Caenorhabditis elegans: one gene and its partner. The protein of the gene in region 2 purifies or fractionates together with the protein of the main gene of each other region. This does not show direct contact. Each region holds a gene or a part of one and is shown on either strand. Other genes may lie near its edges.

Region 1 (6,357 bases), on a different chromosome or scaffold from region 2:
ACTGCTCCAAGCAGTAGAAGAAAAAGAGCAATCAATTTCATTTCTGAAACAGAAATTGAGAAAACTTTGTCCATACATCGTTGTTTAAATACTCTTTTATTTGCATCATTTCTGATAGTCAATCACAAACCCAAGTTTCCTAGAGACAACTAGACTAAAAAAGAGAGCCGTAGAGAATTATAGACAATGCTAATTTATAAATCAGAAATGTGGTTTGTAGGAAGTTATGGTTTGGTGCTTTTCTGAAAAAAAAGTACTGATTCTAAATAGGCTCTTATCTTATCACAATCTGTTTTACATCATTGTGTTGTTTGTGCATCCAAAACGTAAAAATTATTGTGAAATATCATCTTAAATATTTAGTGGAGTGTAATAATCAAATAATCTTGAATAAAGTTGCGCAGGAAATCTGATGCATTGTGTTACGGTGGGTGCACAAATTTTCCAAATGCACCGAATTCCACGCGCAATTTCAATTTTTAAAGTTAAAGCCACCAAAAAACATAGTTGTACCATTAGATTTCTGGACTGACTATGAGTATTCATTTTTCACAACTCTCTTTTTCACAACGTCAGTAATATTTTCCCTCCGCTGTTGCAACTTATTTAGTCACAGTAAGTACTGTATTCAAACCTGAGTTTATTTACGCAAATTCGCCACTGATGTTTGGTTCGTTTCTGTTAATGATTCAACTTGTTCAACTCATACTGTTATAACGAATGCGTTCTCTTTAAGTTGTGATCTATATTTTATACATTTTTGTATTTTTGAATTAATCATTAACATTTTTTTTAACTATCACAAATTTCACTTCACTGTAGTCTTGGAACAATGTGACTTGGTTCATGATAGTTTAATTTTAAAACTCTAACGAAACAGAACAAAAAGAAAACAAAGTCTAAAAACAACTGCTACAATCGAAAACTTAAATTTAAAAAAAATTAAATTGAAAGAGAATCATTTCGGTGGTTGCTCTTCAACTCTCATCGTTGTGGCATTAAATCGTGGTTGGAACATTGCTGGTCCTGCATTCCAAGCTTCAACTTTAACTGGCAATTCGTTTCCGTAAAGATCCAAAAGTGCATTCTTATCAACTTCCTCGTAGATCGACACGCTTTTTGTTGAAGGAGCTTCCTGAAATGGTTGAAAATTGAAAAATAAAATTTTGTGAGTTTCGGAGTTTTTTATTTCAGCATATACATAGTTAATCCCACCTGTTTGATGAACGGCTTCAAGTGCTGGAACTCTGGATCGACACTAAGTGTGAGCGGAGCCCGTCTTGACACAGTTTTCTCATCCAAACCATTTTTGCGAGCACTTTTCTGTGACAAATGAACTTGAAGTGGTGGCAATGGAAACGAATCGGGAAGAACAAGATCTTGCATTGGTGTTGTGCTCGATGTATATGATTTTTCTTGATGTCTGAAAATAAACGAAAATTTCGAATCCTCAATTAAGAATTGCTTACTTGTGTACCAGCTGCCAGTCACTTCTGTTCAAATCCTTTGAAAACTCATAAACGCCAAGATTTTTTCCACGAAAGACCCATTCAGCATAAACTTTTCCTTCGAATAACCATCGGTCCATGCCTGGCTCTGCCTGAAAAGTTTCAGTGATCTTTGTTCATGCTAAAAATCAAGAATGCCCTCAAAATCTTCATATATGACGGATTATTCGGCCATTTCCGTGTCCATTCATTCTTTGTAACAAGACGACCGACACCAAACTGAAAAAAAAACAATTGAATCAAGGGGGAAAACAGCAGAATAACATACGTTGCGGAGTTGTGAGAGAATCTCGAACAAAAACTTTCCTTCCGATGCAATATCATGATTTCCAACAAATCTGATTAAGTTTGAAGACATTTTTATCTGAAACTTTTAAAATTGACTGTGAATCTTGAAGAAAAGGAAAAAATTAGAGAAACAAATTAAATGCTCGAAGAGAAGAAAAAGAATAGAAAAAATGCGCGGCGTGCTTGCAATGAGGCGCAGTGCAGCCGTTTTAGCCCCGCCCCTTGAAATATTCTTCCTTTTATTTATTCAGATTTTCAACTTTAAAATTATTTTAAGCATGTGTTTAGATGTTTTAATTTCATTTTCCCAAACTAAATAAAACTTTAGACAGTTTTTTCATGTAATTAATGACAAAAATGCCACAATTTTCGGTGCAAAACAGTTTTAAAGAAAATGTTATTTTTAAAAATTCATCAAACATTGCTTTTAAATTGTATTTCACTTCTATAATGATCACTCGTACTCATTAACTCAGTTATGTGTGAATGTTATCAGTTTTACAGAATGCGGATAACTCAATCGGCTCAAATCTGTTTGTCAGTCATCAAAAAGAGTCAGAAAACCGGATTTGGTCCAAACAGGCTTCAAAGAAAGGGAACACATTTTGTAGGAACCGAACCACCAGTTCTGAAATATCATATTGTGAGTCATTTCGGAGGTTTTAAATATTTATTGATTAATATTTAGCTTCAAGACAAAAAACCAAATGAGGAATACGGTCTGCAAGGAACCAACCACGAGCTTCCCGGAACTGGAAAAGTGCATAGTAAGCTACCAACTAAGGTATTCAAATATATTACTCGTATGCTACCTTCTGAGCTAATTTTTTTATAGGTTCACATGAAAAAGGATAAAGTTTACGCATGGTGCAGTTGTGGATATAGTGGATCGCAACCACTCTGCGATGGATCCCACAATTCAATTCGAATTCCCGATCTTAAATTGAAACCAGTACGATTTATTCCTGATAAGGACATGACGGTGTGGCTATGCAATTGCAAGCAAACAAATAATCGGTAAGATTTGTTTTTTTGTAAAAGTTAAAAAGTTGCGAAAAATCGTGTTCCTAGAGCTTAAGGAAATTAAGTTAAACTAGTTTCGGACTTTGAAATGAGACGTATTTAATTTGGAAGGTTATGTTCAGATTACCTTATATTGAATGACTTGCAAAAAAATTCATACAAAAAAACCATCCCACGGAAACCCTTTATTCAATTCATAAAAAGCATTATTCTCTCATGTCTTCTACACAAAATTGATCTTCACTCCGTTTTTGAGAAATGCACCGAAATCCATCACAAACACAATGTACTCATCGCTGAAATTAATTTAAATTTGATCTACTAAACGAATTCAGTTTCACTTACACCTTGGAAAAGTTGTACAATTCCAGAGAGTTGTACTGTTTAGTCCTAACTCTTCGAACTCTACGTGACCATCCAGGCTCCAATTCCACGTGGTACAGTACTCCCGATTGATCAGGTGGCAACGTTTGGAAGTATTCGCGAAGAAGCGAAGTGATCACTCTGTTGACTTTTGTGGTCGATTGTACTTCCAATTCGACAACGTTGCTGGAAAAATAAAAAGAATCACGGTATGTTTGCTCATGTGCCTGCCTACATGCCTGGCTTGCCTAAAAATATGATAACTCACTGTTGAACTCCGAGAATATCCAGCTGCTCCAAAACATACAGCTTTACACCAATCATTTCCTGAAGCAATGGATAAATCAGCCGGAAGTCTCCCTTTGCATTGGAAAGGTTGTCCATCACCGACCCGACAGCACAATCCGTCTCCTCAGAACTTTCATGTGGAGAAGGACTCGTACGGCTCGATGCAGATGAAGCTGATTTGACATCAATTCCACGAGATTTCATTTCACGGGCACGGAGACGTTGCTTACGGCAAACTTCTTTCTCAAAGTTTTTCTTCGCTTCTTTCCGATCTTTTCCCTTCCAATAACACATTCTCGAACTACATCCAGTTGTTCCATCCGAATTTTTGAGAATTCCATAGCAAGCAGTGCACAGATAGTGTCCACATCTTCCGATTGTATTCAGAAGATTGGATGGGAATGCTTTCTTGCATGGACCATCACAGATTGCAGTCACTGGCGGAGGGACATCATGGACGACAGTGGTCGCTGAAAAATCTCTTGTAAAGCTATTTTCCAAAGTCAAACTCACATTTGATAGTGTTGAGTGAGCCAATACTCGTGGATCTACTGATCGATTTCTGGAGAATTTTGAGATACTTGTCGTCCGAGTTCTCATTGTCTTCCCAATTGATAGAATATGTATAAGTCGATCTAAAATAAAAAGTCAATATCTTTAGGAGGTTTCTCATTATAATAAGTATACTTACTGTTGAGTTGGAGCATCGAATGCAACTCTCATTTCCACGTTTTTCGGCGACTTGCACATATCCCGAACAAATGGAGGAATGAGCTCCAGAATTCCAGGTACTGGCTGAAAATTTTCTAATATTATATTGAAAATGTTAACTTTATAAATAGTAAAACTCACCAAAAAAGAAGAAAATGAGCTTGCAGATGAGAGAAGTGAATTGTTTGTTTCATTCGAATTGAAATCAGTCATCTTTTTATGATTTTCCGTCCTCGTTTCAATGGAATCACACAAATGACGGGCGGACTGAAGAAGATCACCAAATTTGATGATATGAATAATAAATAATAAATTTGATACCGATTAGCAAGAGTGTTTTTTTTTAAATTAACGTAAAAAATCGGTGCAAAAGTTTTTTTGAAAAGTTCATAACCTTTTACACGCTAAAAACAATGTTTAATATTTGTAAATAATTTTCAAAATTTTATTATTTATTAACAGAAAATATTTCAGATCAAAATTTATTTTAAAACATTATCTTTCAAATTTCATACGTCTCGTTTTTAATTCGGATAAAAAATTATTTCAAACAAATTATTGTTTCCAGGCGCAAAATTTTGCGGATTGTGCGCTAAAAATACGGTACCCGGTCTCGACACGACAATTTTTTATTAATTCTAAAAATGTGTGCGTCTTTAAAGATTACTGTAAATTTAATATTTCGTTGCTGCGAAATTTTCATTGATTTTTAAAAACTCAAATATAAAAATAAAAAGCTGCATAAATTTTAGCAAGTCGTGAGAAAAACTATTAAAAATTCCACAGAAAGTTTGAAATACAGTACTCTTTAAAGACGCACACATTTTTAAATTTAAAAAAAGTACCGTATTTTTGGCGTAATAGTTACGAAAATTCGAAAATATATGCACACCTGCAGTTTTTGATTAATTTACCGTTAAGTTTCTATTCAAAATATAAAAACTAAAATTTCAGACCATTCTGTGATGGATCACACAAAACCGTAACGGACGAGGACAAGAAAGCTGGACTTTTCGATTAATTATGACCAACTCCATATAGTTTTAGGTCTTTACTATTATTGTGTTTTTGTTGAATTAGGCTATTCAGATATCCCCTGTTTTCATAGCTTTGTTTGGTTTCGTATCTAGTTTAATCCCCCACACCGATCATTCTTTTGTACTTTTCTTTGTTTCCTTACAGGTTTTGTGTCTTTAATCCCATCTCAAATTCCCATCAGGTTTGAGAAGGAAGAAAAAAAAAATTAAAAGTTACAAAAACGTCTTCTCATTCGCACTGAAGTTAATCCATCAAATCTCAAAAAAAAACCAAAACACAAAAAACAACAGATTTGTTTCCTCTCTTATATTCCCTCAATTTCTCTTCGGGGGTGCCTGCCTATTCACTTTTCACAAACCAAACGATCTTCCCACTAATTATGGAAAGAAAATTGGGAAAACGAATATATCGCTTTCTTTTCTTTTGCCGTAAAACCATACTTGAAACATCTTCTCATAGACATAGAGACACTTGTAATTTACATAAGCATTCATCCTTCTATTCATCATGCCTAACAATTTAGGATTTTCTCTCTGGATATTGATATTTCACCAACGAAACAAGTCTAGCTGTTCATATTTTATTAGAATTTTATTGATTTGATTTTTACTGAAACGGCTGAAATTGGTGGTCACTTGCCAAACTTCTCAAGACACGGACTTGGTCTCTACACGACCAAAACTTATTCAAATGAAGGACACGCGAAGGGTTATGCGCCTTTAAATAGTACTGTAGTGCCACTTGTTTTAAATGTTTTTCAATTGGGAAAACAAGCAACAAAATTATGAAAAATCAAAGAAAATTGAACTACAGTACTCCTTAAAGGCGCACACTCTTTTCAGTGCCTCTTATTTGAAAATAACCCGGTCGCGGCGAGACCGCATACCGTAGTTTTGCATAAACACCTATAAAATAACGTTTTTTCTTGTTTTCTTTGATTCAATTTGAGAATTACACAAATGTATCGAAATTGGAAAAATGGCCTGGAAAATATCTAAAATCAGTGCCGAATGGCACAAACTTTAGTCTATAAAATTTCCAGCTCACAATTTTTTAATAGTGACACCTTTTTTTTATCAACAATTCAAAAACTCCCAGAGTTATCCCACCCCGTACATACATTCTCAACAGAGCGCGC
Region 2 (6,055 bases):
CATCAAGAATGCATACTTTTCCCAGTTCACTAGTATACCAGTTTTCACACCCTTCTTCTTTACTAATTACTACTCATTTTATACAATCGTTTTTTTCTTCTTTTTTTCTATGTGTTGCGGCAGAGGCCACCCTGCTTCTTGACAATATGTCACAAATTCGATTGAGGGGAGGGGATTAACAAGCATGTTAATGAGTTGAAAGGGTCAGTGCACTTGTTGATGAGAACAATTTGTCCCGTTTTCTTATTTGACTTTTGAGACTATGTTCAGTATATCTGCTTTAATTTGGATTTTATTATTTCAAAGCTTAAATTTCTAAACCACTAGTGACGTCATTGGCTCGTAAATTGTTCAATTTAAATATAAATATAATTTTAAAAAAGATGATGTACAGCAGGGCTTTGTCAAAAAATTATATCTCATGATTGCCAAATCGGAATATCTGAAAAAAGCGGCAAACACCTCCCGGGTCACGTCTCAAAAAATCCAGCAAGGTGTCGGTTGTGCGTTCTTTTTAACTCCTACTTAACAACTTAAGCGACCGACACCTCCCGTCTTGAACTTTTAGCACCTGGCCAGTAAGGTGTCTGCTGCTCAAATGTTGAATAGCTATAGCGGCCGACACCTTGTGGGCGGCCTGGGAGGTGTCGGTTGCTGCAAGCGCAATTCCAATGCCCCCCCCCCCCCCCAGAAGCTTTTGTTGAACATTGGAATGCGTTTATACATCCTCTGCCACCCATCCTTGGGGTCAATCAAAAGAAGTTGTGTCAGAGAATCGTCTCGTTGCTCTTTCGCTTCCGGTGACTCTCCTTCCACTCCCCATACTGATCGCTTTCTATGATAGCGACGAATGCCCTGGCAGATGGGGAAGGAGGTCAGCTTCTTTCCCTCTACTTTCCCTACTTTTTGGTCAATTTTGCTAGAAAAGTACAAATTCCGTTTAATTCAATTTTTCCCAAGCTTTTTCTCGCACCTCAGAATCGTTTTTTTTTGTTTTTCGAAATCCCCCGGGGAGTCTAGAAATTCGATTAACGTGTTCCGTCTTCAGTCGTTCAGTTTTGTCACACCCCTTGTCTACGAGCTTCCCGCGATAGATCTGCTAAGTGGACGAGTTTTTCCTTTGGCGGCTAGCCGACATTAAGCTCGCAGAAGAGTGGCCTCACTGCTGGCCTAAAAATCCCTGCGGCCACTATTGGGAAGCTATTGGCCTAGAAATCTCACACGGTTACTCAAAAAACTAAGATGTGATTCATTGGCTGGTGGACTAGGTATCACGTCATCAGTGGATTAAAAAAATCCAACTCGGCCACTCAAAATGGAAAAACACATGGGGTGCGGAAGTCATTTGAGGCCTAGAAATCTCACTCGGCCACTGAACTTTAAAACCTTATAGGCTATAACCTCGCTTTTTATGGACTAGATGTGACGTCATCAGTGGCCTAAAAATCCAACTCGGCCACTCTGAATGTGAAAACATATGTGGTGTATTTCCTCGCATTGTGGACAAGATTTGGCGTCACCTGTGGCCTAGAAAACTTCATTTTTCCAGAATTCCAGAATGGAGGGCATCCTTGCATGTGGCGAAGAAGTGACGTCATTGGTGGCCTAGAAATCTCACACACCCACTCAAAGTATAAAACTGATGGGATGTGTGGACTATATTTGACTTCGCAAGGGTACGGTTCTGTGGAAAGTAGCCTCCATCCGCCTCGATCAAAATAATCATAACTTTCGAAACTGTGGCCTAGAACTCTCACACTGACATACACCTTCGCCTGGTGACAAGGCGTGACGTCACAAGGGACTGTCAAGTCTGCACGGCCATATCAGGCCGTGATTCCTGGAAGGTTCCACGTCGCAAGTGCTCTTTAAATCCGAACCTACTAATGGACGTCACAAGTAACCGACAGTCTTGCACGGCCACATCAGGATTCCTTCGGCCAGGAGAAGCTGCGACAAAAAACATAGCCGCAAAGATATGGCCGTTAAATACAAGTGCTCTTTAAATCCAAACCTACAAATGGAAGAGGTTTGACGTCACAAGTGGCCTAGGAATCTTCCCTCCTAGTCCCCTTCCCCTCCCCCATACCATCTCCCCTGTTTCGACTCCTAATTGACGTTGCGGTCAGCTCAAAAACGTATACAAGACCTCGTTGCGCAACTTTTTCGCCACGCCGCCGCAACATTTCACCCAATAACCGAATTACACCAAACATGGCCCCCGCGTATCTTCTCACTGATGGAAGCACATTGTCTTCTTCTAAGACATATATCCCCCTCCCTATTTGTGTGTATATATACACTACGTCCACTTCTTAATTGCATTTATTCATTTGTTCGTTGTTGCTGCTGCTGCTGCTCGACGGCTCCGGCTGTCAGCAGAAGCTGCACCATTTTTCTCACACCCTTTGAAGCGGAGTTTTTGATTTGCATTGATCGTTGAATTTTTCCAGACACCCCTCCTAACTATGAAGCCGTCTAGCTAAAAAAACATGATTCCCATCCGATTCCTGATCTTTACCGGCTCCCTGGCCTACTTGAGCTCGGCGAGACTCATCAATTCTGAAGTTGTGAAGGATGTATCTGTCTACCTGTGCTCCCATATTCCTACCTATTCACATGCCAATATGAATGTGAGATTTTTTTTGAAAAACTTGATAAAAATTCGAAATTTCAGTTCTTCTCCTACCCGGTACAATTTTGTGTCACTCTGAGGTCGGATAAGGGAATACGGTGAGCGGTTTTATACCTTTATACATGTCAAAATACCATAATTAAACATTCCAGAAATTTTTAGATTTTGCTAAATTTTCAGTTAAAGTTTTGGAAAAATTTTAATTTTTTTATAATTTTTGTAGGTTCAACTTAATATTCAAATTCAAAACTCGTATAAAACTTTTTTGATTTTTACTTTTTTGGAGGAAAATCTGGCATTTTTTGAAAAAAAAATGTTTCGGTCACAATTTATTCCAATCAAAAGTTTTTTATTCGTTCACAGCCAGGTTTGCAATAGGTACGTGTGTAGGCGTGAGGCAGGTACGCTTAGTTTTGCATCCTAAAACTTCTTCTTACTAATTCACACCATATTTTCAGTGAAGAAATCCGGGATCTCCAATCAACCACCTCTCTTCAAAGTCGCGTTTCAATATCCTGGAGGCAGTTGGCCACGGCGAACTCTTGCAGACTAACTTTTAAAGGATACCAAACTGAATATCGAATATCTCCAGATCTTGGAGGTTACGAGACTTGCCAATCATCGATCTCAAGGCATTTATTTAAATTGTCACAGGGAATGAATATGGGAATCGAGCATCAGAAGAGGATTGAGTTCAACTCGACAAATCAAGAATGTCCGATTGTTAATGTGCCAACGGTGTATCCGGTAGGCTTGGGTTTTTTTTTAGAAGTCATCTAAAGTCTTTTCCCATATGAAATCGGCAAAATTGCCGGTTTGCTGATTTGGCGGAAAATTTAATTTTCCGCAAATTGCTAATTTGCCGGAAATTTTTTTTCCGGTAATCTGCCGGTTTGCCGATTTAGCGGAAAATTTCAATTCCGGCAATATGGCGATTTACCGGAAATTTTAATTTTCGGCAAATTGCCAATTAGCCGATTTGCCGTTTTGCAGGAAACTTTCATTTCCGGCAATTTTGCCGATTCGCCGATTTGCCGGAAATTTTTAATTCCGCCAAGTTGCCGGTTTCCCGATTTGCCGAAAATGTTTAAATCCGGCAAGTTGCAAATCTGCCGCTTTTCCGATTTAACTTTATTGAGTTTTTGAGGTGATAAAACATTTTGGAATTTTTTTTGGTCGAAATGGTAAAAAAATAAATTATTTTTCAAAAAGTTTCAAAATTTCTTCAACCCAATCTAAACTTTTTTGCAGGAATACGTGGCATGCAAATTTACATCAAATGAATGGTACCAAATTGAATGGAAATCCACAATTCGATACGAGACGTTCAGAAATGGAGAGTATGGTCAGTTGTTTCATATTTTTGTGAAAAATCAGCAGCTCCAATTTTCAGGCACGTATTGGGCAAATGATACTCAGAACTTTATAGTCAAGATGAGCGAAGAAATGAGGAGAAATGGATCAGAACATGTTTGGCTGAAACGATTACTGAAAATTGAATCGAGGTGGGTGAATTTAGAAAAAAAAATGGGAATACGAAATTTGGATATTCACATAAATCGTATTAAAGGCTTTATAAAAAGCAGTAAAATTTGTAGCTCTTGCTCTGAACACAAGCTTCCAAGCAGGCAACAAATTTCTACCCGCCTGCCTTTAAGAATGTCATCTTACTTTGAAGGCAACCTAGGTTTCTTTTTCTTTTTCGCCTGCCTTGTAGGCACATAAATAAGAATTTCTAAGTGCATCGAAGCCTACTCAAAGCATACCCAGACCTTGTGGTTTTAATATATTTACCTTCTAAGCCTAAGCCTGATCCTGAGCCTGAGCCTAAGCCAAAGCTTAAGACTAAGCCTAAGCCTAAACCTAAGCCTAAGTCTAAGCTCAAGCCTAAGCCTATAAGCCTTCTATAGAAAAACAAAAATTTTGACATGGCCTACAGTTCAAAAAGAGATAATTCTTTATTTCCAGACTGAATGGATGTGACTCCACCGAGCTTCTGATCCGATTTGCAGATGATTGGACATATTCATCGAATAGTGTCAGCTTAAGTTATAGAATCTTCGAAGGATCCACAAAAATCCATTCCGATCATATTGGAACATTCGGAGTTGAAGGGTGGAAGGAGATGAATGTTCCGTTGAAAAGAATACCAGGGGATCATGAGATTTGTGCACAGGTAAAGGGTTTTGTAAAAAAATCATTTTTCTATACAAAAAAATTAATTTCCAGCTCCTGAACCCAGCTGTATCCCGTCACTACGTGTGCTCCAAAGTAGTCGATGCTCTCGATTGTCCATTTGTTCTGGTTTCCGTCTCCTCCGATAAATCATCTTTTCTTTGTCTTTTTGTTCTTTTACTTTTTGTCTGTTTTTGAATAGGTTCTAGTTTTTGAAATGCAATAAAAAATCGAAAGTTTAACCATTTCTTTTGTCCTGGGGATTTGGAAGGTTTTGAGGAAACAAGTGTCTAGACACGTCGTTATCATTGTGCTGACCTTGAAATTATCCAAAAAGGCAAGTTTAAGGATAGGTAAGGTAGGTAATAGTATAGTCTAGGCCTAGCCGAAGCCGAAGCCTAAGCCACTGAACAGTCTGAAAGTTTACCACCAATTCTCCAAAGATCGTGGCGAGACCCACCAGAATAACTTTTGATCTTTGCGCACAAAATAGGGTGCATCGATCCAGCGCAAAAATAAAAACAAGCTTCTCACGTATTTAAATTCAAAAGCTTGAGAAAAAAATTTTGAACAAAACTTTCCAAAACATTTTTTTAAAAACGTGACAATTTTCTTATCTAATTTCTAAATCTTTCCACGTGTTTTCCAAATGTCAACGTGTCATGAAAAAAGCTCAGATTGGTTATTACCGAAGAAGTTCTCGTTTGAAATTCGATTCTTCTCACTCAACTCTTCGTCTCGTCGAAATGGCATCGCAATTTCTCCGTTCAACAAACTCGCGGTATGTCGCTGGAGTGCTCGCTGCTCTTGGAGCCGGATCCGCAGTCTACACACTCACTCCACAGGTAATTCTAAAGCCAAAAAAGGGCAATTTTCAGAAATATTTCCTTGCTCCCTTTAATCAGGGACCGCGCAACTCTGAAGCCAATTTGAGGGGGCTCCCAGCGCAGCTGCGTCCGGAGCGGTATGCCCAGAACACGTGATTTGTCATCATTTTGAAGTTTGTAAATCAACTTTTCTGTTTGAGCCGTTCCACGCGCGAGCTGAAACTCTGACATGAGAATATATATTCTGGGAGTCGATTTTTCAGAAAAAGCTTTACAAATCTCTAATTATAATTTTTCAGCAACTTCAAGCCAAATCCGAAGTCGACGCTGCCACGATCAAGAAGATCGAGGAGGCCTACGCCAAGCTCAATGGTCCAGAAGGAGCCAAGTGCAAGTCGCTGCTCAAGAAGCATTTGAC

What was found. The genes of interacting proteins can lie anywhere in the genome.
Region 1: the proteins of F32B5.2 (region 2) and cisd-3.1 fractionate together in Caenorhabditis elegans (co-fractionation; one large-scale study listed by BioGRID). This does not show direct contact.

Annotation. Positions count from the first base shown.
Region 1 is NC_003281.10:4,540,581-4,546,937, forward strand, and holds cisd-3.1 (Iron-binding zinc finger CDGSH type domain-containing protein), read left to right. Parts: upstream 1-2,300; 5' UTR 2,301-2,301; coding exon 2,302-2,439; intron 2,440-2,484; coding exon 2,485-2,580; intron 2,581-2,631; coding exon 2,632-2,813; intron 2,814-2,987; exon of another isoform or gene 2,988-3,042; coding exon of another isoform or gene 3,043-3,115; intron 3,116-3,164; coding exon of another isoform or gene 3,165-3,368; intron 3,369-3,450; coding exon of another isoform or gene 3,451-3,940; intron 3,941-3,983; coding exon of another isoform or gene 3,984-4,105; intron 4,106-4,161; coding exon of another isoform or gene 4,162-4,265; intron 4,266-4,322; coding exon of another isoform or gene 4,323-4,394; exon of another isoform or gene 4,395-4,479; intron 4,480-5,135; coding exon 5,136-5,202; 3' UTR 5,203-5,445; downstream 5,446-6,357. Other genes in the region: ugt-62 (UDP-glucuronosyltransferase), read right to left, coding at 1-41; mrps-34 (Mitochondrial Ribosomal Protein, Small), read right to left, coding at 959-1,135, 1,216-1,423, 1,470-1,600, 1,647-1,727, 1,777-1,866; M88.3 (RING-type domain-containing protein), read right to left, coding at 3,043-3,115, 3,165-3,368, 3,451-3,940, 3,984-4,105, 4,162-4,265, 4,323-4,394.
Region 2 is NC_003279.8:2,694,948-2,701,002, forward strand, and holds F32B5.2 (Glycoprotein), read left to right. Parts: upstream 1-2,451; 5' UTR 2,452-2,492; coding exon 2,493-2,633; intron 2,634-2,677; coding exon 2,678-2,733; intron 2,734-3,093; coding exon 3,094-3,382; intron 3,383-3,616; exon of another isoform or gene 3,617-3,765; intron 3,766-3,886; coding exon 3,887-3,980; intron 3,981-4,028; coding exon 4,029-4,140; intron 4,141-4,603; coding exon 4,604-4,811; intron 4,812-4,864; coding exon 4,865-5,008; 3' UTR 5,009-5,052; downstream 5,053-6,055. Other genes in the region: F32B5.1 (arginine kinase), read left to right, coding at 5,473-5,655, 5,937-6,055.